Linked DNA regions of Cricetulus griseus. The protein of the gene in region 1 purifies or fractionates together with the protein of each later gene. This does not show direct contact. Links are inferred from orthologs where the notes say so. Each region holds a gene or a part of one and is shown in the gene's direction. Other genes may lie near its edges. The genes, in order: Med21, Cdk19, Polr2m, Rpap2, Polr2d, Cdk8 and Med12l.

What was found.
Region 2: the proteins of Med21 (region 1) and Cdk19 purify together in Homo sapiens (affinity purification with mass spectrometry; 6 studies listed by BioGRID and IntAct, counting the BioPlex papers as one, with this or other methods). This does not show direct contact. The link is inferred for Cricetulus griseus from reciprocal best matches to the Homo sapiens genes MED21 and CDK19.
Region 3: the proteins of Med21 (region 1) and Polr2m purify together in Homo sapiens (affinity purification with mass spectrometry; 3 studies listed by BioGRID and IntAct, with this or other methods). This does not show direct contact. The link is inferred for Cricetulus griseus from reciprocal best matches to the Homo sapiens genes MED21 and POLR2M.
Region 4: the proteins of Med21 (region 1) and Rpap2 purify together in Homo sapiens (affinity purification with mass spectrometry; 3 studies listed by BioGRID and IntAct, with this or other methods). This does not show direct contact. The link is inferred for Cricetulus griseus from reciprocal best matches to the Homo sapiens genes MED21 and RPAP2.
Region 5: the proteins of Med21 (region 1) and Polr2d purify together in Homo sapiens (affinity purification with mass spectrometry; 4 studies listed by BioGRID and IntAct, with this or other methods). This does not show direct contact. The link is inferred for Cricetulus griseus from reciprocal best matches to the Homo sapiens genes MED21 and POLR2D.
Region 6: the proteins of Med21 (region 1) and Cdk8 purify together in Homo sapiens (affinity purification with mass spectrometry; 14 studies listed by BioGRID and IntAct, counting the BioPlex papers as one, with this or other methods). This does not show direct contact. The link is inferred for Cricetulus griseus from reciprocal best matches to the Homo sapiens genes MED21 and CDK8.
Region 7: the proteins of Med21 (region 1) and Med12l purify together in Homo sapiens (affinity purification with mass spectrometry; 3 studies listed by BioGRID and IntAct, counting the BioPlex papers as one, with this or other methods). This does not show direct contact. The link is inferred for Cricetulus griseus from reciprocal best matches to the Homo sapiens genes MED21 and MED12L.

The regions. Positions count from the first base shown.
Region 1 is NC_048601.1:3,057,122-3,061,143, reverse strand, and holds the start of Med21 (mediator of RNA polymerase II transcription subunit 21), read left to right. Parts: upstream 1-1,222; 5' UTR 1,223-1,316; coding exon 1,317-1,358; intron 1,359-4,022. UniProt on the Homo sapiens protein: Component of the Mediator complex, a coactivator involved in the regulated transcription of nearly all RNA polymerase II-dependent genes.
Region 2 is NC_048595.1:262,975,347-262,978,846, forward strand, and holds part of Cdk19 (cyclin-dependent kinase 19), read left to right. Parts: intron 1-2,636; coding exon 2,637-2,747; intron 2,748-3,500.
Region 3 is NC_048597.1:182,991,350-182,995,376, reverse strand, and holds the start of Polr2m (protein GRINL1A), read left to right. Parts: upstream 1-1,227; 5' UTR 1,228-1,367; coding exon 1,368-1,480; intron 1,481-3,280; coding exon 3,281-3,919; intron 3,920-4,027.
Region 4 is NC_048600.1:2,380,563-2,384,062, forward strand, and holds part of Rpap2 (putative RNA polymerase II subunit B1 CTD phosphatase RPAP2), read left to right. Parts: intron 1-210; coding exon 211-1,123; intron 1,124-3,500.
Region 5 is NC_048595.1:205,582,468-205,586,738, reverse strand, and holds the start of Polr2d (DNA-directed RNA polymerase II subunit RPB4), read left to right. Parts: upstream 1-1,471; 5' UTR 1,472-1,528; coding exon 1,529-1,601; intron 1,602-4,271. UniProt on the Homo sapiens protein: Core component of RNA polymerase II (Pol II), a DNA-dependent RNA polymerase which synthesizes mRNA precursors and many functional non-coding RNAs using the four ribonucleoside triphosphates as substrates.
Region 6 is NC_048597.1:82,215,072-82,218,149, forward strand, and holds part of Cdk8 (cyclin-dependent kinase 8), read left to right. Parts: intron 1-1,645; coding exon 1,646-1,743; intron 1,744-2,412; coding exon 2,413-2,491; intron 2,492-2,634; coding exon 2,635-2,793; intron 2,794-3,078.
Region 7 is NW_023276806.1:92,255,573-92,259,072, reverse strand, and holds part of Med12l (mediator of RNA polymerase II transcription subunit 12-like protein), read left to right. Parts: intron 1-1,293; coding exon 1,294-1,414; intron 1,415-1,747; coding exon 1,748-1,849; intron 1,850-2,521; coding exon 2,522-2,635; intron 2,636-3,500. UniProt on the Homo sapiens protein: May be a component of the Mediator complex, a coactivator involved in the regulated transcription of nearly all RNA polymerase II-dependent genes.

The DNA.
Region 1 (4,022 bases):
ATTTATTTTTATTTTATATTGGTGTTTTTGCCATGAATGTCAGGTTCCCTGGAATGGAGTTACAGACAGTTGTGAGCTGCCATGTGGTTGTTGGGAATTGAACCCCGGTCCTCTGGAAGAGCAGTCAGTGCTCTTAACCACTGAGCTATCTCTCCAGCCCCAAATTAGTTCTTATAATTTAAATGGACCTGCCCTCCCCCCAGGGTTTCTCTGTGTAACTTTGGAAGCTGTCCCGGAACTCGCTCTGTAGACCAGGAGGGCCTGGAACTCAGAGATCTCCTGCCTCTCCCTCCTGAGTGCTGAGATTAAAGGTGTGTGCCACCATGCAGGGCAACCCATGTTTTTTAATTTGCTTGCTTTTATGTAACTTGTTACCTTTACTTATCTTTACTTAGTTTTTTATTACACCAATCACAGCCATACATCTTCCCAGTGCGCATCACACAGTATCACTCTTCGCATGTAAAACTATCAAAGATCTCAATTCTAAATCTAAATTCTGAACCTGCCTAACTTGCTTATTTTCCTGGAACCTCTCTTCTGGCCCCAGGGCCCTTCCCTTTCCTCTGAAGCCTTCTCTTCCTCACAGCTACAGAGGACTGTGTAGTTAACTGTGCTGACTACACACCTCTTATCTCCAAATGCCCATCTCCAAATGCCTTTCACCTCCAAAGGTGAAAACCTTTGCCTGTCATTCCTCACCACGGCACAGTTTAACGCTTAGTTTCCCACGCTTCCCATTTCTGCTGTGTCAGTTTCCCCACTCAAGAATTAAAGCACGAATCTAGCCTACAGTTGGGCAAGCACCTCTTGGCCCAATCCAACAAGACACCTAACTAACTCTTGATTTCCTGGCGAATGATAATCTGCTGGGTTTAACCATTTGTGAAGGGTTCGCCGTGTGGTCCACCTGGAAAGCACAAGTGAAGGAAAACAAGTGTTCCAGATGACGCCCAAAACAGAACCCCGGAGCCACACGCAAGCAAAACACACCGCGGGCCCGCCAGGACCGCCTCAAACACGGCTACAGCCAGGACGGCAGGCGGCGACCGTCCCTGGAGCATCTCGGCGCCGCGGGCCTGGCTCCACCCCCGGCTCCGCCCTCCAGACCCGCCTCCCAGACCCGCCTCCCCGGATCCGCCCGCTCCGCCCGCCTCCCCGGCCCCGGTGAGCCGCGGGATAGCCCCGCCCTCCGCCGCAGCGTGCGTCCTTGGCCACGCCCCCTGGAAGGGAGCCCTGTGATTGGCCCAGAGCCGCCATAAATTACCCAATCGCCGCTGAGCGGGGAGCTTCGGCGTCGCTGCGTACGCGGGAACATGGCGGATCGCCTCACGCAGCTGCAGGACGCGGTGAACTCGGTGAGGCTCCCGCCTTAGTCGGCCTGTCCTTCCCGTTCTTCCCGTTCTTCCCGTCCTTCCCCTCCTTCCCGTCCTTCCCGGGGAGGAGAGGAGAGGAGAGGAGAGGAGGGCCGGGGAGAGGAGGGCAGGAGGGCCGGGGAGAGGAGGGCAGGAGGGCAGGAGGGCCGCGTCGAGCGGATGTTCACAAGGGCGATTTTTGTTTTGTGTTGAGAGAGTCTCCCGCGTACCCCCCTGGCTGACCTGGAAATCACTGTGGAGACCAGGTTGTCAGTTAAAACTAACAAAAAACAACTGGGGAGTCATAAAATCTAAACAACAGAAGCTCCTGAAAACTGCTGCCTTCCATAACCTTGTCCCTTCTGGCTGTTACTCTTTTTGGTTTTTGTTTGTTTGTTTTTTTGGGACAGGGTTTCTCTGTGTAGCTTTGGAGGTTGTCCTGGTACTCGCTCTGGAGACCAGGCTGGCCTCGAACTCACAGAGATCCTCCTGCCTCTGCCTCCGGTGTATTGGGATTAAAGGCGTGCCCCACTAACGCCCTGCCTCTGAGCCACATTTTTAATCCCATTAATCCCAGCCCTCTGGAGGCAGAAGCAGGCAAATCTGAGTTTGAGGCCAGCCCCAAAGTTAGTTCCAGGACAGCCAGAGCAGTGTAGAGAGAGACCCTGACTCCAAAAAATAAAATAAAAAATGTTTCTGCTTATTACCATTAAGAGCACAACACTTTTCCACTGGTAGTTAAAAATGTCCGTGTCATCCTGGTTGTAGTTTGTTCTAGGTAAAGTGCCTGTAGAGTGTCTGCCTACTGGAAAAAAACAAAACCCAGTCCCTGGCCTGTGTTTTTCTTACAGAAAGGTCATAACTTGGCTTCTTGGTAATACATCACTTTTAGAGATTGTGAATCTACTTGTGGGAAAACTGCCTACTCTGTAAATAAAGTAGTTTTTAAATTGAGGGGCTATCCCTAAATGTTGGTGAACTCACCAAGCTAAAATGTAAAGATTTCCCTGGGCTGCCAGCCATTCTCTCCCAAGAAAGTACTCCTTTGAGGTTTTAAAAATCTCTTAATGCAGTGTAGGAGCTTATCTCAGAATTTCGTCTTCGTGTAGGTCCTGTAGCTAGGGTGGTAAGGATGCTATATGGTCTTGACTCATGTTAGGAATACTGTTAATTTAGCTAACTTGGATGCCTACTGTGTCAATAGGCAATGTGTTTACAAAGAGCTACCCCTGGGGGAGCTTAGAAAGATGCCATGAACTCAAGAGACTTTCAGATGTGAAACCCCGTTCATGGCTAGGGAGTTAGAGTAAACTGCTTTCAGTTCTTCAGTGCTAAAGTAGATTGGAACATAGAGCAGTGTTAACATTTGTTCTACCATCTGGAAACATGTTCATCTCTATAATATTTATATATAGTACTTGCCATGGGGTTCATTTTTCAATAAATATGTTTTTGAACAGATGAACAATGGGTCTTGAAAGCATTTGCAGGACAGAATACATAACTACTGTTCTGAATAAGTTTCATTTGGGTTTTTCTTTGTCTTAAGACAGTGTTGCAAAATGGAATGCTGCAACTTAAAATAAAGTCACCCAGGTTAGCTTTTAATGACAGCTCAGATTTTTGTCATTGAAATAATGACAGCAAAATAATAGAAACAATAGAAATGCTGTTTCCTGATTGGAAGATTGGAAATAATAGTTGAGGTTCCAGGGATTAGTGAGAAGTTGGGTGATGGGTTATACATGTGTTTAGTTTGCAGATGGTGTGAACTTGTGTTTTCAAATTACTTGACTACATTGGTTTTTTTTTTAGTTCTGCCTTTTTTGAGAGAGTCTCTTATGTAACTATGGCTGGCCTCTGCCTCCCAAGTGCTAGGATGGAAGTTGTGCACTGCCGTGCCCCAACAACAAATACATTCTGAGCAGTAAGATTACAATTGGAGTCTTGTAGAATTACAGTTCTGATAACTTACAGTAAGAAATTTCTTCATGTAGTACAGACTGGCCTGGAACTTCCTGTGTAGTTGAGGGTGACCTTGAACTTGGGTTCTTGCCTCCTGATTACCAGAATTACATGTTTGCGATGTTACTCCTAGGTTTCTGTTTCAGTGCTGAGGGTCCACTTCGAGGCTTCACCATGCTAGGCTAGCAGTCTCCCAGCTGAGCTTATCCCCAATACGCCCACTATTTGTTTATATTTGGTAGCTGCTCTGCACAGACAAGAGATCATGTGCTTTGTACACCCCAATTTTGAACCTCAGGAAAGAACAGACAATCATTCTTGCAATTAGAATAGAATGTGTTATCTACCAGTTCGACTACTTTGGTATCTTAGGATTTGTTTATAGAGTTATGATTTGAAAGAGTCTTTTTTTTTTTTTTTTTTTTTTTTTTTTTTTTTTTATTTTAAGTATTCCTGTGTACCTCATGGGCGCCTGGGACCCATGGAGACCAGAAGAGGCTATCAAATCCCTTGGGATTAGAGTTACAGTTGTGAGCTGTGGATTCAAATCCCTTGGGATTAGAGTTATAGTTGGGAGCTGTGGATTCTGGGAGTTGAACCCAGATTCTCTGCAAAAGCAGCCAGTACTCTTAAGCATGACTCTTTCTGTATTGCAATTTCTGCATCTGCTAGGATGGATACCCATAAACATTCGAAGAGAGG
Region 2 (3,500 bases), on another chromosome or scaffold:
AACAACACACCCTGCAAACTCCTTCAATGTGCCTTCATCATTCATTTCCCAGGGACACAGAGGTAAATTAAACTGTCTTTGAGGAGTTCCTAGTTAATAGGGAGGCAGATGTAAATATTTGGTAGAATAAACTGTATGAATAGAAACATAGGCCTAGTGCCAATGATTCAGAGAAGCTGAGTCTGAAAGCCATTCTGCACTTCACTCTGCTCCATCACTGGCTCAGCCGCCCATCCCTGCATGTGCAGAAACCTGTCCCAGTGTGGCAACTTTCACAGTGGCTGACTCTTCATTTAACTTTAGAACGCTTGTGTGTGGGATGAGCCTGTCATTGGCTAGGAACATGGGACTAATTTGTCGTCTAAAGCAAAAGGAAGTGCTGTTTGAGCCATAGCATCAGAGGTCAAAGGTAGACACCTTTAGCTCAACACCTGCTCTTCTTGCCTCCCCACCCAAGGGAGAAGGACTCTTAACCTTCCCTGGTCTTTAAAATGTTTGCATTGTAGAATTGTTATTAGAATTAGATGAGAGTAAAGCATTTGTATATAATAATTTTGAACATTTTAAGTATTCAATAAACAGGTAACAAAAGAAAAAATACTCAACAAAAGTCTAATGAGCTTTACATAAAAAGACATGAAAACTGCTTACCAAGACAGGTGTTGTGGTGCACATTTGTTTGTTTGTTTTTTTTCAGTTTTTATTTTTTAGCTTTTTTTATATGTATGAATAATGTTTTGCCTGCATGTAAGCCTGAGTATTGCATACACATAGTGCCTGCAAGGGCCAGAAGAGGGCATCAGATGCCCCTGGAACTGGAGTTTTCAGAGCTGCTATGTGGGTGCTGGGATTCGAATTTGAGTCCTCTGGAAGAGCAGCTAGTTAGTGCTCTTAACTGCTGAGCCATCTCTCCATTCCCTGTAGTACACATTTGTAATGTGTACTACACACACTTGGGAGGTTGAGGCAGGAGGATCATAAGTTCAGAGCCAGTCTGGGCTAACATAATTGGGTTGTTTGTTATCCATTTGTGTGTGTGTGTGTGTGTGTGTGTGTGTGTGTGTGTGTGTGTGTGTGTGTGTGTGTGTGTGCGCGTGCGCGAGCTCGAGAGCTAGGGAAGCATTTTACCACTGAACTGTATCCCACCCCTCTTTTTGCTTTTTGTTTTGAGATGGAGTCTCACTAAATTGCCTAGGCCTTGAGTTCACTTTGTAGCCCAAGTGGGCCTTAAATTTTAAATGCCCCTGCGTCAACCTCCTGAGTAGGACTATGTCAGCATGCATAGTGAGCTCCTGTCTTAACAAAACAAAAACAAAACAAAAATAAAATCAAGCATGCTTCTCTGTGTTTACTAATTCTGAACCCCAGGCATATTTACAAGGCTTTTATCGTGAGCTCATGTCATTGTTCCTATATCGTTTATCAAGCTGCTGCCTGTAATGTGCAGGTGGTTTTCATTTGCTTGTTTGGTCTGTCCACTTTCTTGTCAGGGTGGAGCCTGAAGCTTGTGTATTGTGAGGGCTATTCTTTTTTATGTACAGAACCTCTGCTATGTTAGTCAGGTTTCCATTGATGTGACAGATCCTTGAGATAATCAGATTACTATGGGCAAAGGTTGATTATGGCTTATTGTTTCAGAGATTTAGGCCATGCTTCTTGGCCTAGGGCTTGTGCACAGTACCTTGTAGTCAGAGCTTCTTGGGGTATAAGCCAAGGAGAGTGAGCTTAAAACTCTACAGTCCTGCTTCCTTCCACTGGACTGTATGTCCTAAAGAGCCCAGTATTTCTGGATGTCAACATGAGCTGGGAACTAAGCCGTTAGCATATAGGACTTTTGGAGATATTCAAGAGCCAGACTCTAGCCACTGTCACCTCCAGGCTTTGTCACTGCACACAAGACTTACCATGCCCGATAAGCCCCATAGATACAGGAGTGGAATTTTCAGTTTTCTTTCCTTTTTGTAGAATATATATATATATATATTGAGCTCTGATATTGTGCTACTGTAGATATAAATTGACTGTATGATTTCTTTTCTCAAGAAGATAGTCCTTTCATAAAGAAAATACACATGGACCAAGTACAGTTTCTTTTTTGGGAGAGGAGTTGACTGACTGTGTCTGTACATACATGCATGGGCATGCATGTTAAAGCCAGAGAGCAGCCTCGGGTGTCATTCCTCAGTCCTTTTTTTGTTGTTGTATTTTGTGATGAGGTCTCTCCATGACCTAGATAGAACTCCCCGCCAGTGAGGAACCCAGTCCTGCAGCACTTCGCTGACTGAACTGTTTTCCCAGACCCAGCTAATTCTATAGTGATGCAGGACTCATTTTGTTCATCATTTCAAACAGTCCTGTTTTTAAAATACACATGTGCACACATGCTCGCTGACAGAATTTTTCTCCAAGAATGGTATTGGAAGCTATTTCTCCCTTTCATGCTGCTCACCTGGCTTTTCCAAAATTTGAAAGTTCATTTGAAAGCTAGGCATGGTGGTGCACATGGATTGTGAGTTCAAGGTGGTGTCCTGGGATACAGAAGACCTTGTTTCAAATAAACTGTTCAGTTATGAGTAGGGTTCCCTTCTAAGCCCTCCTTTCTACTGAGTAGTAACCTTTCTTTCTCTTGCACTCAGCTTTTGAGAGAACTGAAGCACCCTAACGTGATCGCATTGCAGAAGGTGTTCCTTTCGCACAGCGACAGGAAGGTGTGGCTGTTGTTTGACTATGCAGAACATGACCTTTGGGTAAGTTTCAACTCGCTGTGTCCAAAGGACATAGGTAAGGGCCATGTATGCAAGCAGTATGTACTACTCATGTACAGTAAAGAAAGCTCACTGTTCATTCCAGTTCAGAGCAGCTACAGTAAATGTTGATTTGAAGATGGCACTGTCTGGTACACTCACAAGTTTCTGGGAGGAAGTTTTGCTAGGATAACAGACTGGTTCTGTGCAGGCAGCTAATGGCAGTTTGGTGACAGGCACAGTGAATACTGCTTCCATTTGTAAATTCACAGGGCTCAGTTCTCATCCAGTATATGCTTGTGAGTAGTTTTTTACTATATCTTGGTATTTCAAACTGGGTCTGCCAAATAAAATGATGAGTATAGTTTTTAGAATGCCTTATTAATACATAAAAGAAGGGAAAAAAACCTAATTCCTAACTTTAAAATTTGGGAACTGGAGCATTTCAAACATTTTGTTTCTAAAACTGCCAAAAAAAAATTCCAAATTTAACAGTTAAATTATGGTTAAATTTGGTTCAGCATGTTACAGTGTGCCTTCTGCATAAAGTAAAAAAAAAAAAAATCTTTTTAAGAACAACTTGGACAAGCTTATAAGGTCTTGAATGACCTTTGATGTGCATGCTGCTACAGAACTGTTGATGACAACTTCCAGTGTTTTCTTCAATATTTCTTAATAAAAATTACATTTCTGGACTGGACAGATGGCTCTGTAGGTAAAAAGTACCTGCCCAGGACCCACATGCTGGTGTGAGAG
Region 3 (4,027 bases), on another chromosome or scaffold:
GCATAAACAAGCTCACATAGTACAATACTACTTAGCAATATAAAGAAACATTGGCATAGATGAACTTCAAGATCATTACACTAAACATTAACAAAGCCAGACTCAGAAATTATCAAACTATTTTCCAAAGAGGTTCTACTATTTGCAAACCCCTCCCTGTTTAGCTGTCTATGGAAATCTCAGATCTTCTTCTTTCTTCTTCTTCTTCTTCTTCTTCTTCGTCTTCTTCCTCCTCCTCCTCCTCCTCTTCCTCCTCCTCCTCCTCCCTCCTCCTCCTCCTCCTCTTCCTCCTCCTCTCTCCTCCTCCTCCTCCTCCTCCTCCTCCTCCTCCTCCTCTTCTTCTTCTTCTTCTTCTTCTTCTTCTTCTTCTTCTTCTTCTTCTTCTTCTTCTTCTTCTTCTTCTTCTTCTTCTTCCTAACACTTGACAGGGTCAGTCTAATTCCTGATATTCTGATTTGTCCAAATATCCAAATCTTGTTGTTTTGTTTGTCTTGAGACAGGGACTCACTATGTCGCCTTGGCAGGTCTCAAACTCACTATGTAGATCAGGCTGGTCTTGGACTCACAGAGATTAGCCTGTCTCTGCCTCCCAAGTGCTGAGATTAAAGGCATGCACTACCACGCTTAGCTATATTGTGTTTATAAAATGCATTTTATAATTGCTAGTAATACTGGTCATTCATTGTTTTTTAAATATTTATTATGTTTTGATTGTGTGTGTGCTCGTATGTGTGTGCATGTGAACCAGGTGCCTGCAGAAGCCAGGGAAGGTTGTGAGATGCCCTAGAGGTGCAGTTAAAGGCAATTGTAAGCTACCCCACAGGGGTGCTGTTACCCAAGTTCTAGTCCTCTGCAAGAGCACTATGCACTCTTAACCACTGAGCCATCTCTACAACCCCCTGTCATTTATTTTTACGGTTATTAGTGTTCATTCAGGAATCCCTGTGAAATGTTTGTCCAAACACTGTACTGCTTAATTGAGATGTGACACTATTACTTCTGGCATACTTTGCTTAATAGAAGTGAGTCAGTAAGTCTTTGACATGGGTGTCCTATACTTTCTCAAAGCGAAGTCGAAAAGCTGGGAAAGCAAAGGACACACATCCAGCGAAAGCGCGCCAAACCCAGACACTTCTGCGGTGATGTAACTTCCGCCCCTGAGCTCTTCCTCGGGCGCCCCCTTGCTCCTGGCCCGGTCCGTTTCCGGCATTTCAATAAAGCTCCATTCGGCTCGAAGAAGCCGTGCTCTTCCGGGAAAATGGCGACTCCCGCTCGCGCGCCCGAGTCGCCGCCGGCCGCGGAGCCTGCTCCCGCCGTGGGCCCCGCCGGGGAGCCGTGCCCTCCGCGTCAGCCGCAGCCCGTGCACAATGTTCTCGCTGCCCCGCGGCTTCGAGCCCCCAGCTCCCGAGGACTTGGGGCAGCGGAGTTCGGCGGAGCTGCGGGAGAGGTTGAGGCGCCAGGAGAGACTTTTGCGCAACGAGTAAGCGGTGGCTCGGGGGTCGCGGTTGCGGGGAATCGGGACCGGGATCAAGGGATAGGCTCTCGGGGGTAGAGATCCGGGACCAGCCTCCCGCTCCCCGCCGCGGCCTTTCGGGCGAAGGTGACCTTGCGTGGTCATGCCTCCTGGCCAGGCCCGTGCTGCGCGCGGCGTTCCTCCATGCTGCCTGGCCCTCAGCAGGCAGCAGCGCCTGCTCCATTCCACGTCCCCACAGCGGCTTTGAGAAAACGTAACCCTGGGGACCCAGTCCTTGCGACCAGACGGCGTCGATCCCCGCTTCTCTATCTAGAGCCCCACTCTTTCCCAAAGCAAAGGAGACGGGGAGAGTGTGCTGTAAAGATGGGCTAATTAGGCCTAGAAAGTTTCGCTCCCGCGTAGTAGGGTGGATGATGATAGCTGACGTTTTAATTTTTAAAGGCAGCTTTGTTTAGGAGCGGGGTTGAGGTAATAAGAGGCAGAAGACGCCAAAAATGTATTTTTTTCCGAGAGATTTTTTTTCAGCAAGATGGGAAGGTGAACTGTGAAGGCAATCGAGAAACTGGGAAAACTTAAGTACTGGTGAAATAATTTGGAGATAAATACATATTCATAGTTAACAGGTGGTTGAAATTTCTGGGGAGCCACAAAGGATAATGAGAAAATTGGGAGAGAGGAATGGATTCAAGGTTAATTTTTTTTTTTTACGCGGGTGTATTTAGTGGAGGGGAATAATGGCAGGCGTTTAGTTAGTTAAAAGCCAACTGATTAAACCCTGAGAAATGGGTACTAGGCTCAAGAGAGGGCTGAATAAGCAGAGGAACCCCAGTTGCAGAGAGGCAGAAAACATGAATGTGGTGTGGTATCGGGAATAATAGAGGACCTAAGAGATCTTCATTTGTTATGTAACTAAGGGAAAGAACCAGAAAGGGAATTTCACTGAGCAAAAGGGGCCAGTGAGCACTGGAGACAGGTATTGTTTTGATTCTTTTTTTTTTTTTTTCTTCTTTTTTTCTCCAGAATGGGTTGTTAATAATAGCAATAAATTAACCTTTTGATCTCAGGACATTTTTAGATTCTTTAAGAATCACTGGGCATCCCTAAGAGCTCCTGTTTATTTATACTGGCAATATTGCTGATTTAACAGAAACAACTTAAGTCTTTCACAAAAACACATAAGTCCATCTTCCTTTGTAAGATAGTGATGTATTCTATTATGTGACCTCTGTGAAACCTGTTGTACTCAGCTTTTATGACAGAAATGGCAAATAGTGCTTTTGACCCATTTTTCAGCCTCATTAGGGTTCAAAGACCATATTTTTAAAACCACTAGTCTTTATTTATATTGAACAGGTTGAATATCTGCTTTCCTAAATACACAAACCAGAATTTTATATTTTTAGGGAGATTGGAATGTATATGTGAGTGTATTGGGACGGTATCGAGTTAAGACCCAAGTCTCAAAATGATTTCAGTTGTTTCTTATATATGACTTTCAAGGTAATTTTGTGTTGTGTTCTTTATAGCTTGGGTTTTGACTGCATCTCATCATGTGGCAAGGTGTGAAGTTTTCCACAGGGCAGTCATTGTCTGGGCTTGAAGAATTTCAGATTTTAGATTGGGAAAATATCTGATGGGTTCCTGTATTAGGCCAGATAAAAATCAGATTTATTTTGAAAAAACTTCAAAGCCAGCTTTTCTTTGAGGATTATATTCTGCCTTTTAAATACCGTGTTTTCATGTTTAAAAACATGGCTCTAATGTGTACATGTTGGTTTCTTTCTTTCTTTTTTTTGCATTTGACAGAAAATTCATTTGCAAATTGCCCGACAAAGGTAAAAAGATTTCAGACACCGTTGCCAAACTGAAAGCTGCCATTGCAGAACGTGAAGAAGTTAGAGGGAGAAGTGAACTGTTTCATCCTGTTAGTGTAGACTGTAAGCTAAGGCAAAAAGCAACCACACGAGTTGATATCGACATAGACAAGGCCCAGAATTCTGACCTGATGCTTGATACTTCATCATTAGTTCTTGACTGTTCCTCTGTAGACATCAAATCATCTAAAACAACCTCAGAAACACAAGGACCTGTACATCTCACTCACAAAGGCAATGAAGAGACTTTGGAGGCTGACTGCACAGTGAACACCGGCCCTGTTCCCGGCAGTACAGCCAGGGCACCCTCATCTGAAGTTAACAAACATCTCCCCCAACGCCCTGTTTCAAGTCAAGTGGAAGACATTTCCAGCAGCATTGACAGTCTGTTTATCACTAAGTTGCAGAAGATCACAATTGTAGACCAGAGTGAACCCTCAGAAGAAAACAGCAGCTCTGAGAACGTGCCGGAGCTCCAGAGTGAGACGCCTAAGAGGCCTCATTACATGGAAGTGCTAGAAATGCGAGCCAAGAACCCAGTGCCCCCTCCTCATAAGTTTAAGACCAATGTGTAAGTGTCACAGAACAGGGAACAGGCTTGTCCCAAGAATGTTTCATGTGGTATGCCAGTTCAGAGAGTGCTGTGTGTGTGTGAGGATCTTCTAAGCAGGAGTGAACA
Region 4 (3,500 bases), on another chromosome or scaffold:
AAAAGAATTGTTAGAAACAGGGAAAGGAAAAGAATTGTATCAAACATGTATTAGAAATGAAGAAATTAAAGCCTTCTGAAGTTTATGTGTGAGAAAGTATAAGCAAGGCTATGTCTAAGGAACGGAATTTTTTACCTCGAAAATTCCAGGATGTAACTTGAAATGCTTTGTCTTCCAATTGTCTTTGTTTTGATTGTCTTTCTTGGACAGTGGCTGCTCTGGAGAAGTAGTGCAGTTTTTCAAAGACGCCATTACAGCAGCAGATATTGATGGTCCTGGTGCCTGTGAAGGTCTGTCTCCCAGCACGTGTAGTGAATGCACCAGTGATGATGAGCAAGGCTTCGTTTCCTCGCTTCTCCCAGGAGACAGACCGCAGGCAGCAGATACGAGGCCACAGCCGTGCAAAGACAGCAGCACAATGAAAAAGAAAGCTGATCAGAAAGTGGACTCCAAGCACAGAGAACAGACAGTGGCAGATGTCACTGAGCGGTTGGGTAACTGCAGGTTGGACAGTCAGGAGAAAGCCTGTGAACTTCCCTCAAAGAAAGAAGATGCTCAGATTTCTTCACCCGGCCCACTGTATGAAGGACTGCACACCTTAGCAGTTCCTGACAACAGGCGCAGTGTGCCAGAGGTCACTCTTGTGGGGATTAGCAAGAAAAGTGCTGAGCATTTCAGGACCAAATTTGCCAAATCTAACCAAGGTTCCAAGTCAGCCTCCGGCCCGGTGCAGGTATGTCCTGAGGTTGCAAAGGCAAACTTACTTCGAGTTCTAAAGAACACCTTGACTGAATGGAAGACAGAAGAAACACTGACGTTTTTGTATGGCCAAGATTGTGCCTCTGTGTGCCTGAAACCATCCTCGGCCCCTGTACCTGATGAAGAACTCGATGAAGATGACATAAGCTGTGAGGCAGGTAGTTGTGGTCCTGCCCAGAGCCAGCCTCAGAACAACCTTGATGACACACTACCAGTCAGAGGCTCAGGTACGGCCATTAAGCCAGTGCCCACCTATGAGAGCTTGAAAAAAGAAACTGAAATGCTGAACCTGAGGGTCAGGGAGTTCTACAGAGGACACTATATCTTAAATGAAGAAATGACCAAGTTGCAGGACCCAGGAGAGGTATGTCGTCCAATGATTCTCTTTTTTTTTTTTTTTTTTTTTTTTAGGCTGCTCATATTTGGAGAGCTCAGCAAAGCAAATCTGGGGCGTGCCTCATGCTGCTTTCAGTAGGATAGATTAATTGCTTAGACAGCTAAATGCTTTTTGAGGTAATGTTCAGTTAGCGTCTGTCTGAAATGTTACAGGCATGGCTAGGAAGTTGGCTCATTGGAGAAGGTACTTGCTACCCAAGCCTGAGGAGCCAAGTTCAGATTCCCGACACTCATAGACGGAAGGCACAGTGATGTGCATCTGTTATCCACTGCCAGGGGAGGGGAGAGACAGGGACACGAGGGGCTCTCTGATCAGCCAGTCTAAAAGAAACATCTCCAAGTTCAGGGAGAGGCTATCTGCAAATGAAGGTGGAGGCTCAAGATAGAGGACATCATGCATGCCCACGAGTGCACTTTCACACGTGTAGGAAGACACACCTCACAAGCCAAAAGATGAAAGGTTACAGTGAAAACACTACAGTAAAGGGATTTACTGGGCAGTAATGAATACAGATGAGATCCACCCAGTCATTAAAAACTTAGTTCTTCTTAGTTCTTAGTTCTTTGTCTGTACACGGGACTTTCAGTAGCTTTCATCATTTGTTCGTCTGTTCAGAGTATGTGACATCACATAACTGGGTACAGAGTCCTCATACATAAAGGCTGAGTATACACTGCTGAGGTGTAGGAATGAGTCTGTAATATTCCCAATGCGTACTTCTGGTTTATATGTGCTGTCTGGAGGTCTTTTAGTGTGGAGAGAAGAGTAGATAATAGTCTTGATTTAGGATAGAACTCTGTTATTAAAGGAATTATAAGAAATGTTGCCCTCAAATTAAAAACACACTTGGAGATTTGGAGAGGAAAGATAGAAAGAGACACACATAGAAATTTCTTGGACCTTTACAGAACTTTTGCCTAGCCTCGCACCATATTTGAAACCACGATATCATTTTTAGATAGCATCCAAAACTTACATTAAGCTCGGAGGAACACTGGCTTCCAGAGAGCCGCATAAGCCTCACCACCACTTACAGCTTTACACTAAGAAGCCTTGCAAAGGAAAAACCAGTGTCTGAAGTGTGATTGTGCTGTAGAACGATTTATAGCTTTTTTTTGTTGGTGTTCAACAGCAAGTGTACAGATTGTTGAGTGTTTATAGTGAGCGCACAGACCAGGAGGTGCTTCCTTATAAGGAAAATGGATGACATCAGTGTCTGCTGTGATCATTGCCTCTCCCAAAATTATTATCCTACAGTAGAGATTACTTTTGCCAATTTTGAGCAGGCTATATTCTTTGCTATCCAGTTTGTTTCATAGAATACTGTTTGGGCTGGTTTGGTTTTTATGCGTTTGTGTTGTTGTGTGTGCCTGTAGTTCATTCTTTCATTACTGAGGAGTGTGCCATTGCATAAGTACAGTAGTCCCCTGGGTCCCCGGGGCTGTGTCCCATGAGCTCTGAGTCTACCTTTCGTGTGACTCTGCCAAGGGAAAAGAAATGTCTCCTCACCTTGAATAGGGACCAGCAATCCAAGGAAAGTCTGTCCAGGTCCAGCTTTGCAAGACTGCGCATGCTAGGATCACTGAGAGGCTGGGCAGCCATGGCTGCATGACTGGAAAGTCATGCATTGGTTGATGATCACCAACATCAGCCAGCCTTCTACCTTTTACATGCTCTGGCACCAGGGCCACATGTAGCTGGGAGGCTAGAGAGAAGGAAGTGGAGCTGAAGTCTCTGGCCTTCTATGGGGAAATGTTCACAGCTCCCTTGCCACTGTCAGACACCCAGCTGCCATGGCTGCTAGCCCCAGAGAATGTGCTTCATGATGGACACTGGTTATGAAGTCTCCTGGGAGAACGTGGCTCTGCTGCCCACTGTCCCATGAGTGCTTTTGAAAGCTGTGTTGCTCACTTATGGAGGGTTCATTGGCTCTTTCATATAGTTCCAGTTGTCTGCTAGAATTTTCAACTGTCATTTTTCTTTGAAGATGTTAACTTTATATAGCTTATATAGTATATCATTTAACAGTAATATAATTTCATTATCTGAATCCCTGAGAATTTGGCTTTGATGGGCTAATGCTCCTGATTTTTATTGCATTGTCTTATTTTATCAGATATCAAACATTTTGCAAACTGAGCTTAGTGATACATGCCTGTGGTCTGATGCACATAGGAGACCCTACCCTGAGACACAGGATATTGTTACCCTCTAGGAGGCATCTGTTCAATTCTCATGAGACTTCCAGCAATCCCACATCGCCATAACCTGATCATGAGTTGAGGTGACTTAGTGATGACAACAGTCCTTAAGAGTCAGTCTTTCTCCTATTCCGTTTTACTCG
Region 5 (4,271 bases), on another chromosome or scaffold:
GGGGGGTTTGAGACAGGTTTTCTCTGTGGCTTTGGAGGCTGTTCTGGAACTAGCTCTTGTAGACCAGGCTGGTCTCGAACTCACAGAGATCCGCCTGCCTCTGTCCCCCGAGTGCTGGGACTAAAGGCACCACCACCCGGCTTTCAATCCATTTTTAAAGATTTATTTTGAGCCGAGTGGTGGTGGTGCACACCTTGAATACCAGCACTCGGGAGGCAGAGGCAGGTGGATCTTTGTGAGTTCAAGTCCAGCCTGGTCTACAGAATGAGTTCCAGGACAATAAGGACTGTTAACACAGATACATCCTGTCTCGAAAAAGAACAACAAAAAAGATTTATTTTGTGTGTATGTACAGGGTGTGTGTGCTCCAAAAGAGGATAGAAAGGGCTTTGGATCCCTTGTAGCTGGAGTCAACAGGTGTTTGTGAGCCTCCTAATGTGGATTCTGGAAATTAACTCAGGTCTTCTAAAAGCACATCAGTGTTCTTAATCACAGTGCCATCTCTCCAACCCCTTCAATTCATTTTTTATTAAGTTAGCTGAATTTAGTACTGTTTCCTAATGAGCCAAGCGCTGGGGAAGATTTTTTCCCCCCTTATTGTACAAACACTTGTTTTCTCTTGTGTTGAAAATAGCATTACTTTTTCCTTTAACTTTCCACTTATGATTCAAACGTCCCACAGACACACTAAAGGATTCTCAATATTAGAGTTCATTTGCTCTGAATTATTAAATACAGTACAAACAATTAACCCTCGCACCCCATTTTGCAACAGGATGGTATGTAGCCTGGATTGGCATGAATCACGGATTTGCTATATAGCCAAGGCTCAGTCTCGAACGTTGTTTTTGCTTGTTTTGGTTTTTTGAGACATGGTCTCACTCTGTAGCTCTGGCTGTCCTGAAACTATCACTGTCGTTGAACTCTAAGATCCTCCTGCTCCTGCCTTGCAACTGCTGGGATTAAAGGCATCTGCCACTATACACCGCTCTCCTTCAACTCTTTATCCTCTTGCCCAGTAGATTAATACATGACCACCACATCGGGTTAATCAATTTGTTTTTTACATAATCAAATCATTGAAAGACATTCCAATATGTTTCTGTAGTCACCTACCCAGCTTCCTTCCCATCATAGGCCATTCCTTGGGTCGGTCACTTTGGTCTTTCCTGCACTTCACTTAATCCTTTTCTCCTGAACGGGTTTACTGACCATTCCAGGTCTCACGGCAAGAGCGTTTGGAGAAAATAAACAGCTCATCTCCAAGACGGCAGTACAGAACCCCCTCCAACGACCGGGAGCCACCAGGAATGCGACCTGAGCGCCCTCCTCGCGCAGTGAGGCCAGTCTCGTGAGTGGCCCCAGTACCTCCCCCTTCCAACCTTCCCCTCCCGCCCACTCGGCTTCCTTAGGGCCCGCCCTTTCCATCTGGCCCCGCCCCTGAACCGGATAGGTTCCTCCCTTGGTGGGTAGCCCGCCCTCGCGGCTTCCGTTTCCGGTGGTTTCTGTGGCGGTACATCCTGAAGCAATGGCGGCCGGCGGCAGCGATCCCCGGGCTGGCGACGTAGAAGAAGACGCGTCTCAGCTCATCTTTCCTAAAGGTGGGACCCGGGGCACCTCGACTCCGAGGTGACATGGTCCTTGAGTTACAGTCGTTATCCGCTCCTTGGTTAGCCCTAGCCCTGGCACGTCGTAGGATTGCCAAGGGATACGCACAGGGGATTGGTCAGCACGGCACAGATGAACCCTTGCGTGGTTTACTTAATTCCTTGGAGAAACGTCCACGCCCGGGGTTTTGGAATCGTGGATATCCACATACCCTACTCTTGTAGTGCCACTTGCTACCTTTTTTTTTTCCTGCTTTTTCGAGACAGAGTTTCTGGCCTCGAACTCGCAGAGATCCCCCTATGTTTGTTTGTTTGTTTATTGTTTGAAACTGTGTCTCACTTGTAGTCCTGGATGGCCTGCAGTTCATATTGTAGACCAGGCTGGCCCTGAACTCAATGAAATCAGCCAGCCTCTGCCTTGTGAGTGTTCGAATCAAAGGCGTGCGTCTCACACCTGGCAGTTTTGTTTTTTTCAGAGTTTCATGCTATGTATCCTAGGCTGGCCTCCAACTTGTCACATTCCTGCCCCATTCTCCTGAGTGGTGGAATTAAGGGCATGGGCTCTTGACATTTAGAGGTATTTATGTCCATTTTCTGGCATGCAAAAGGCAGATCTGGAGCACAGGTCTTAGTTTTGTTTTGTTTTGCTTTTTGAGGCAGGGTTTCTCTGTAGCTTTGGAGCCTGTCCTCGATCTGAAGAACAGGCAGGCCTCGAACTCACAGAGATCCTGTCTCTGGCTCCCAAGTGCTGGGATTAAAGGCGTGCACCACCACTGCAGGTCGGAGCAGAGGTCTCTATTCTAAATTGACAGCTGGCAGAAACTCAGCTATAGCCCCATTATAGTGCTAGTCAAAAGCATCTCAAGGTCTATAGGTCAGAAGAGTGCCATTGCTCCTGAGCAGAGATGCTGTTGTCATTGGGTTCTGGGCCCTCTTTTTATATTTTTGAGTTATGAAGAACAGTTGGAAGCAAGATGGGTTCCAGTCTGGGATGACTGGTACCTGCTGTTCAATGTATTTTTGTGTGCCACCTTGCTCCTGCTACAGGGAGCCTGTGGTAGGTGAATAGTTTGAGCCCAAGAGTTCAAGGCTAGCCTAGGCATTCGAGTAAAACACCAAGATGAGTGCTGTGCCTTTGTGAGTTTTGTTTTGAGCAGGGTCTCATGTAGCCCAGACTGGCTTGAAACTAGGAAGTAGGCAAGAATGGCCTTGAACTTGCCATCCTCCTGCTTCTACTTCCATGATGCTAGGAATTAAACCTAGATTTTTTTTGTTCTTTGTTTTTGTTTTGTTTTGTTTTTATTTTAAAGACAGGATTTCTTTGTAGTTTTGGAGCCTGTCCAGGAACTCACTCTGTAGACCATGCTAGCTGGAACTTACAGAGATCCTCCTGCCTCTGTCTCCTGAGTATTGGGATTAAAGGCTTATGCCACCACCACCGGGCTTAAGCCTAGTTTTTTGTGCGTTCTAAACAAACACTCTAAAAATTGAGCTACATCCCCAGCCCCTGTTTATGATAACAAATCCTTTTTTTTTTTTTTTTTTTTTTTTTGGTTTTTGGAGACAGGGTTTCTCTGTGTAGCTTTGGAGCCTATCCTGGCACTCACTCTGTAGACCAGGCTGGCTTTGAACTCAGAGATCCACCTGCCTCTGCCTCCTGAGTGTTGGAATTAAAGGCGTGGGCCACCAACACCCGGCCTGATAACAAAAATTATTGATATCTGTAACCAAGTGTCTACAGAAAAATTGTGTGTGTGTCGTGCGTGCGTGCTTGTGTGCACATACTCTCAGACTCACGTGTATACAGGTACCTGTGGAGCCCAAAGGTATCATATTGCCTGGAGCTGGATGTATGGATTTATGTGAACCGTTTGAATTGGTTGTGGGGAACTGAATTTGGGTTCTCTGTAAGAACATCAAGACTTCTCAACTACTAAGCCTTCTCTGTGGACTATGCCCTCGCTCCTCCCACCCCCAATTTTTGAGATAGAGTCTCATGTAGCACTGGCTAGCCTGGAATTTTCTTTTCTTTTTTTTTTTTAAGATTTTATTTATTTATTATGTATACAACATTCTGCTTCCAGTATATCTGCACACCAGAAGAGGGCACCAGATCTCATAGTGGATGATTGTGAGCCACCATGTGGTTGCTGGGAATTGAACTCAGGACCTCTGGAAGAGCAGTCAGTGCTCTTAACCTCTGAGCCGTCTCTCCAGCCCTAACCTGGAATTTTCTATGTAGACCAGGCTGGCATCACACATGCAGAGATTCTCCTGTCTCTGTCTCCCAAGTCCTGGTATTACAGCCATGTGCCCAATTTGTGTGGTGCAGTGGATGGAATTTATGGCTTTGTGCATACTGAGGAAACATTCTATCAACCAAGGTACATTCCCAGCCCAGATAGCAACATTAACTTATTTGTTTGTGTGTGTATGTATATGTTATGTACATATGTGTGGGCACATGTTCTTATGCAGGTGCTTTTAGAGGCCTGGAGTTAATGTTAAATAACCTCCTTGATTATTTTCCACTTACTGAGGCAAACTCTTGCTGAACCCAGAGCTCACAGCTGATCTAACTGGTCAGCTTGCCTCCAGGGAATAAATACCTTGTCTCACTACCAACTGCTGGATACAGGCACCCCACTATACCAATTTTTGGGG
Region 6 (3,078 bases), on another chromosome or scaffold:
TACAAGTTTGAACTCCACCAGCAGTGGAGGAGTATTCCCCTTTCTCCACATCTTCTCCAGCATAAGCTGTCATTGGTGTTTTTGATCTTAGACATTCTGATCAGTATAAGATGGAGTATCAGAGAGGTTTTGATTTGCATTTCCCTGATGGCTAAGGGATGTTGAGCAGTTCCTTAAGAGTCTTTTCGCCATTTGAGATTGTTTTGTTGAAAATTCTCTGTTTAAATCTGTATCTCCCCCCCCCCCCATTTTGGTTTTTTTGAGACAGCGTTTCCCTGTGGCTTTGGAGGCTGTCCTGGAACTAGCTCTTGTAGACCAGGCTGGTCTTGAACTCACAGAGATCCGCCTGCTGTACCCCATTTTTAAATTGGATTCAGCCCTCTGTCACATGTAGGGTTGGTGAAGATATTTTCCCATTCTGTAGGCTGCCGTTTTGTTTTGTTTACTGTGTCCTTTGCTTTACAGAAGCTTCTCAGTTTCAGGAGATCCCATTTATTAATTGTTGCTCTCAGTGTTTGTGCTGTTTGTGTTATATTTAGGAAGTGGTCTCCTGTGTTAGTGCATTCAAGGCTAGTTCCCATTTTCTCTTCTGTGAGGTTCAGTGTGTATGAATTTATGTTGAGGTCTTTGATCCATGATCCATTTGGACTTGAGTTTTGTGTATGGCGACAATTAGGCTTTAGGAACAGGGCTCAGCTCTCTGTCAGGCTTTGGGAACAGAGCTCAGCTCTCTGTCAGGCTGTGGGAACAGGGCTCAGCTCTCTGTCAGACTCTGGGAACAGGGCTCAGGCTCAGCTCTCAGTTTAAAAAAAAATCCTTGCAACACTTGTGTGGCACACTGAAGTTTGCAGAAGATCGGAACTTGTTATATCACATTAGGAACAAACATTGCCAGAAGGTATTTAACCCAGAAGTGCTGCGTTTCCATACTAGTGTGGTATCTCTGGATGTAGCAAGGATGAGCTCAGTGTACTACATTACTCACACTTACAGTGTGCTCTCTTTATTAAGAACTATCACAAATGCTGAACCATATATTTCTTTAATACTAAAACAAGCTATGATAGTTTGTACTATTTTTATTCTCTATCTAGACAGATATGGTTACAAAGAGGGGAACTGACCTGCCAGGTACTCTCAACCAGTAAATTTTGAGTCAGGGTTTGGACTAAACAGTTGAGTAGGGTAGCCTCTAGCTCCATGCACCTCTTGAGTACTTGATTACCTGGTATAGCTGTGAGAATTATTTTTTTTAATTATAATGCAGTTTTGCTGAATTTGGACACAAATCTAACTGCTGTGGCTTGTGCGTTGTTTATATTACAACACTTTCTCCTGTTAAAAGAAAAGCAACAGGAAATGCAAGTTTGGTCATTCTAAATTGTGTGGATAATGAAGGGACAAAGCACTGGGGAGGAGGGTCAGAAGGTGTTAAGTGTAGTCACCAGGAGATGATTGTGTGTGCTGTTGCATTAATAATTGTATCTTGTTACTGATAATTTGAGAGAATAAAAACCATTCATGTTGTAGTGTTAGCTTTTAGAAGCATGCCACCCCTCATGGGTACTGACATATAAGCTTAGGGATAGTGCACTAATGTTTTTGTGGGAGCATGCACTGATAATTCTGTGACTTGTGATTTCAGCTTCAGAAGTTGCTCACTATGGACCCAATAAAGCGAATTACCTCAGAGCAGGCCATGCAGGACCCCTACTTCCTAGAAGACCCACTTCCCACATCAGAGTAAGTGGTGGATTTGCTGACTTCCTGAATGCTGGCATCTTTAAGTGCTCTTCCTCTTAGTTGGCACACTAAGTTGCCATGCCTCTGAGGGATTGCACTTGGGCTCTGGTGTTCCTAAATAAACTCATGTTCTCTCTCTTTTTTTTTTTTTAAAGATCGATTTATTCATTTATTCATTTATTTATTTAGCATGTGTGCAGAACACTGCAGGTATGTCTGCATGCCAGAAGAGGGCACCAGATCTCACTACAGATGGTTGTGAGCTACCATGTGGTTGCTGGGGATTGAACTCAGGATCTTTGGAAGAGCAGGCAGTGCTCTTAACCACTGAGCCATCTCTCCAGCCCCCTCATGTTCTCTTTACTTTCTTTGTTTTAACTGGAGAAGGGCAGACAAACACTGAGCAGTGGTAAATACTTTGTACCAATGAGAGCTGTCCTGTTTGGTGATTATTGATTATGATTACACAGTGAAGAACCTTCCAACCACCTGCTGCAGTATCATTGGTTAAAGGATTTTTTGTATCAGATTTGCATGAAAGATGCTTTTATCTCTAGCTATGGAGACCAAGTCCTGTCTTCTTAAAACGTGACAGTGAGTCACCTAAGTGAAACCTGGGAAATAACAGGCATCATGTGATAGAGCTCTTTTCTTTCCTCTTGTGAATAGTGTTTTTGCCGGTTGTCAGATCCCTTACCCCAAACGAGAATTTTTAACAGAAGAAGAACCTGATGACAAAGGAGACAAAGTAAGTATTAAATTACAGTCGGCAGTGCCTTCCTTGTGGCCACCTCTGTGACCTTTGGGATGTGGCCACTTCTGTGACCTTTGGGATGTGGCTACCTTTGGTTCTCCTTCTGAGTTGAACTATTTTCTGTTTAACCAATTGAGAAGAACCAGCAGCAGCAGCAGGGCAATAACCACACTAACGGAACTGGCCATCCGGGGAACCAGGACAGCGGCCACGCACAGGGGCCCCCCTTGAAAAAAGTGAGAGTTGTCCCTCCTACCACTACCTCAGGTGGACTCATCATGACCTCCGACTATCAGGTATTACAAGTGTCTCGTACTGACCTGCTGTTCTGGGGCTTCTAAAGGATCTGTTGCAAAGTGTGGTCTATAGTAGATTGGTCTACCTGTCAAAATATATCAGCATAGAATATTACAGGTATGGAAGACTACAGAGATGGAGAGTAGAAAGGGATCCAACTTCTGAACAGACTTGGAATAGAAAGTCCAAGGTCAGCAATCCAGTAACTTGAGACCTCTGTGGTATATCACAAAGTATCTACTGCAGCTGGGAGGCAGTGCAGCAAGCAAAGCACTCCCACATGA
Region 7 (3,500 bases), on another chromosome or scaffold:
TACTAAACTGTAACAAAGCAAAAATATTTTTCTGTTTTCAAAAGTGACAAACCATAGTGTCATAACCATGAATTAAATAAGTTAAAAAGTCAAAATAAATAGAAGGAGTAGAAGGAATTCCAATATGTTCTGGCAGCTGAGGTTTTATATGTGAATGGTCTCAGAGCTGTTTTGTTCTTTTCTGGCTTGGATTCCTCAGAACAGGACATAAAGCATTTCATACATGAAGAGAACCCGTATATATTTAAGAATATAGATGTTTTTATTTTCCATAAGAAAAGCCATGTGTAGACTCAGAGGACATTCAGTGTATCTCAGAGTGTGCCCTGGAGTGATGGAGCGACTGTCCAAATCACGTACATGACTTCCTGGAGTTCCAGATTGCACCCATGATGTTTATGTCTTAAACATCGTTGTGTATTCTTTACCCATTTATGCTTTTATCTTAGTCATCTTTGTCAGAAATTTGTATATGTTATTAAAGAAACCTGATAGTTCTAGAGCTGAGGTTCATTTCCTGTTTCTTCTGTCTTGGGACTGAATGACAGTCCTGCATCCTTATCTTCATTCTATGGATTAAGCTATTAGTTGTAGTCTATTGTAGTAGCCTGCTTTTCCACACAACAAAGACCTAAGTTTTTCTTAAATCTAATTTTGTGACTTGCTGCATCGAGTAACGATCCCTTGGGAGCTTGCCATTGTGATAGTTGTGTTCCCTTTGTATTATCTTCCAATGCTTGTGAGATCTGGAATGTAGAGATTTCACAGGGGCAGGAGTAATTTTTCTCCCCCTTCTCTCATCTTTCTCTTTAAATTTAGTAGCCTATTGAAAACTTTCAGAGTCCTTTTTAAATGAATTCTCTCATATTAAAAAAAAAACTCATTAGTTGTAATAGAAAAGAATGTTCAAGTGTTAGTGGGTCATGTTTTCCCCCTAGGGGAATCTTCTCCTGCTTCCTGCCTTACCCATAAATAACATAGTACATTCAATTGGCAGCTACCAATTATGACATATCTTTTAGTAGCTTCTTGATTTTGCTCTTGCGTTATATTTTTGGAGTTGCATGCAAATAAGTTAAAGGTCAGCATCCTCCTAGATCACTGGGATCTGAGTAAACTTGCTTTGTCTTATTATCATAGACATAGGCCCAAGAAGACATTAATTGAAGTCATTTCCCTCTGTTGGTTCTTACTTGAGATCTTATTGTCTTGCCAGTATTCTCTTAGATAGTGGTCTCTGATACTGTATTAAAGGGTGTTGGGTATTAAAACCTGTCAATGTTTTTCTTAAAGGTGAGTGACCTTTCATTCCATGATTCATTAGCTACTTTCATTGCTATCCTGATAGCACGACAGTGTTTCTCCCTGGAGGACGTCGTGCAACATGTCGCCCTTCCCTCTCTGTTAGCAGCAGGTAAGCCGGCCCAGAGTAGCATGTGTTATTGGTTGCTGGTTGGGAGTCACTTAAGCATGGAGAAAGGACCATATTGGGGATTAGGGTGGCAGGATACCTGGTGGGAATGGTATAACTGGAGTGGCTGTTTTATGCAGAGTAACAATGAACTGAACAGGAATCCCCTATTGCTTTATACTTGGTTTAAGGCAGCCTGACAGTTCCTTGGAAAGGTAAACTTAGTTCAGAGGAGAATTTATTTAATGTATTACTGAAATTTTAGCAGGGGAAAACCTGAAAAGCTTGTTGGGGAGTATGTGAGGAATCTTGCTTTTAATCTCCCCCTTTTCCCAGCTTGTGGAGATGCAGATGCAGAGCCAGGGGCAAGAATGACATGCCGCCTCCTGCTTCACCTCTTCCGAGCTCCCCAGGCCTGCTTTTTCCCTCAAGCAACAGGTGAGCTGACCTCAGAGGAAGCTCTGCTTCTGTGTATTTGGAACTTTGGGTTCTGCTGTGACCAAGGGAGCTGTCCAGTTTGTAGTTTCCTCCCTGGCTTCCATGGGCTTGATCTGCAGATGATGCAGGACTGAGATATTGCCACTGTAAGGTCTGCCCACACCTCTCATTGTGTAATATGAGGACATATTGGGAAATAACATGAGGAATTAATAAACAATAAAAATGCCTGAGCTCTTAGGAAATACCGTGCTGGAGAGAAGTCTCATCCTCTTCCATAGCCGGTGTTGATTCTGGGCCATGCTGTCTCACCTTAGGTGGACGACAGCTCATTTATTTACTTTTTCCTAAGGCAGTGGGGGGTATTAGTAAAGTCTTGCACTAAATCATTTCCATATAGAGATGGATGCATCTGTGTGGGAATTCTACTAATCTTTTTCCTACATCTCTCTGGGGAGCAAGAACATTGTTTTAATAATAATTAAAGAGAAAGGGTTAAGTAAGAATACTGGCAGTGTTTCTTAGTGAGTCTGTGGAGCATCAATTAAAGCAAACTAATGTCAGTTAAGTGCCCACAAGCTAACAATGAAAGACCTTACTGAGTGTAAATGGTAACAGAAGATGGTTAATGATGTTGAAAAGGCCGTTAAAAGTTTGTTGTTGTTTTCATAGGCAAACCTTTCCCTGGAATAAGATCATCTTGTGATAGACACCTCTTAGCCGCCGCTCACAACAGCATAGAAGTGGGAGCAGTTTTTGCTGTCTTAAAAGCAATTATGATGCTTGGTAAGACTATCCTGGCATTTAGCCTCTTGGTTAATCACCAGAAGTGGAGGCAAAAATGATTTGTATTCACAGTGAAATCTACCTAATGTCATTGGAAACCTAGGGTTTTTGTTTGTTTGTCCTGGAAAAGATGATTGTCTTTGCCTAAGTGTAAGTAATGGGAACTTCAAGGATTCTGTCCCTTAGCTAAGGTGACCTTGGGGAGAACTGAAATATAAGTATTGTGTGTTTGGTTTTAACTGCATGGTACTTCATTCTGATGTAAATCACTCTTCATGATAGACAAGAATAATGACATTTTTAGTTAAAAGTTTAAATTTTGGTCAGATTATATTCCAGATGCAGAACATCAGAAAACCTGGGTTTTAACCTAGTGTCTCTGCTTCTTTTGTAACTCTGAACAAGTTCATATCAACCTACGATATGTTTTTTATGAAACAGGTGGAGCCACAATGATGCTAGTATTGCCAATGATCAGTAGGAGGTGCGCGGGCTTCAGATCTAATGAATGATACCCACGAAGCCCTTTACATTCCTACTTGTGCATATTTTGCTAGAGTAATAGCACTGCCTTCTACTCATGGGCAGTGGAACACCTCCGAATATTTTTAGTATGTAAGTCATAAAGGATTTGATTGATTAGGGGATCTCAAATGTTGCCTACTTTTAACTTTGGGTACCTCATTTTTACCTTAACCAAACAATAGTGACCATTTCATATTCTTAAGTAGTTCCTTTTGATTTAAGCAGAATTATTGAATGAACAGATGCCAGTCTAGGTGAACCTTAAATAACACAAATAATATAACCTTACCTTGCTTGACAGATGTTATTTGTGGATGGCAAAGAATAATAGCATAGTCTT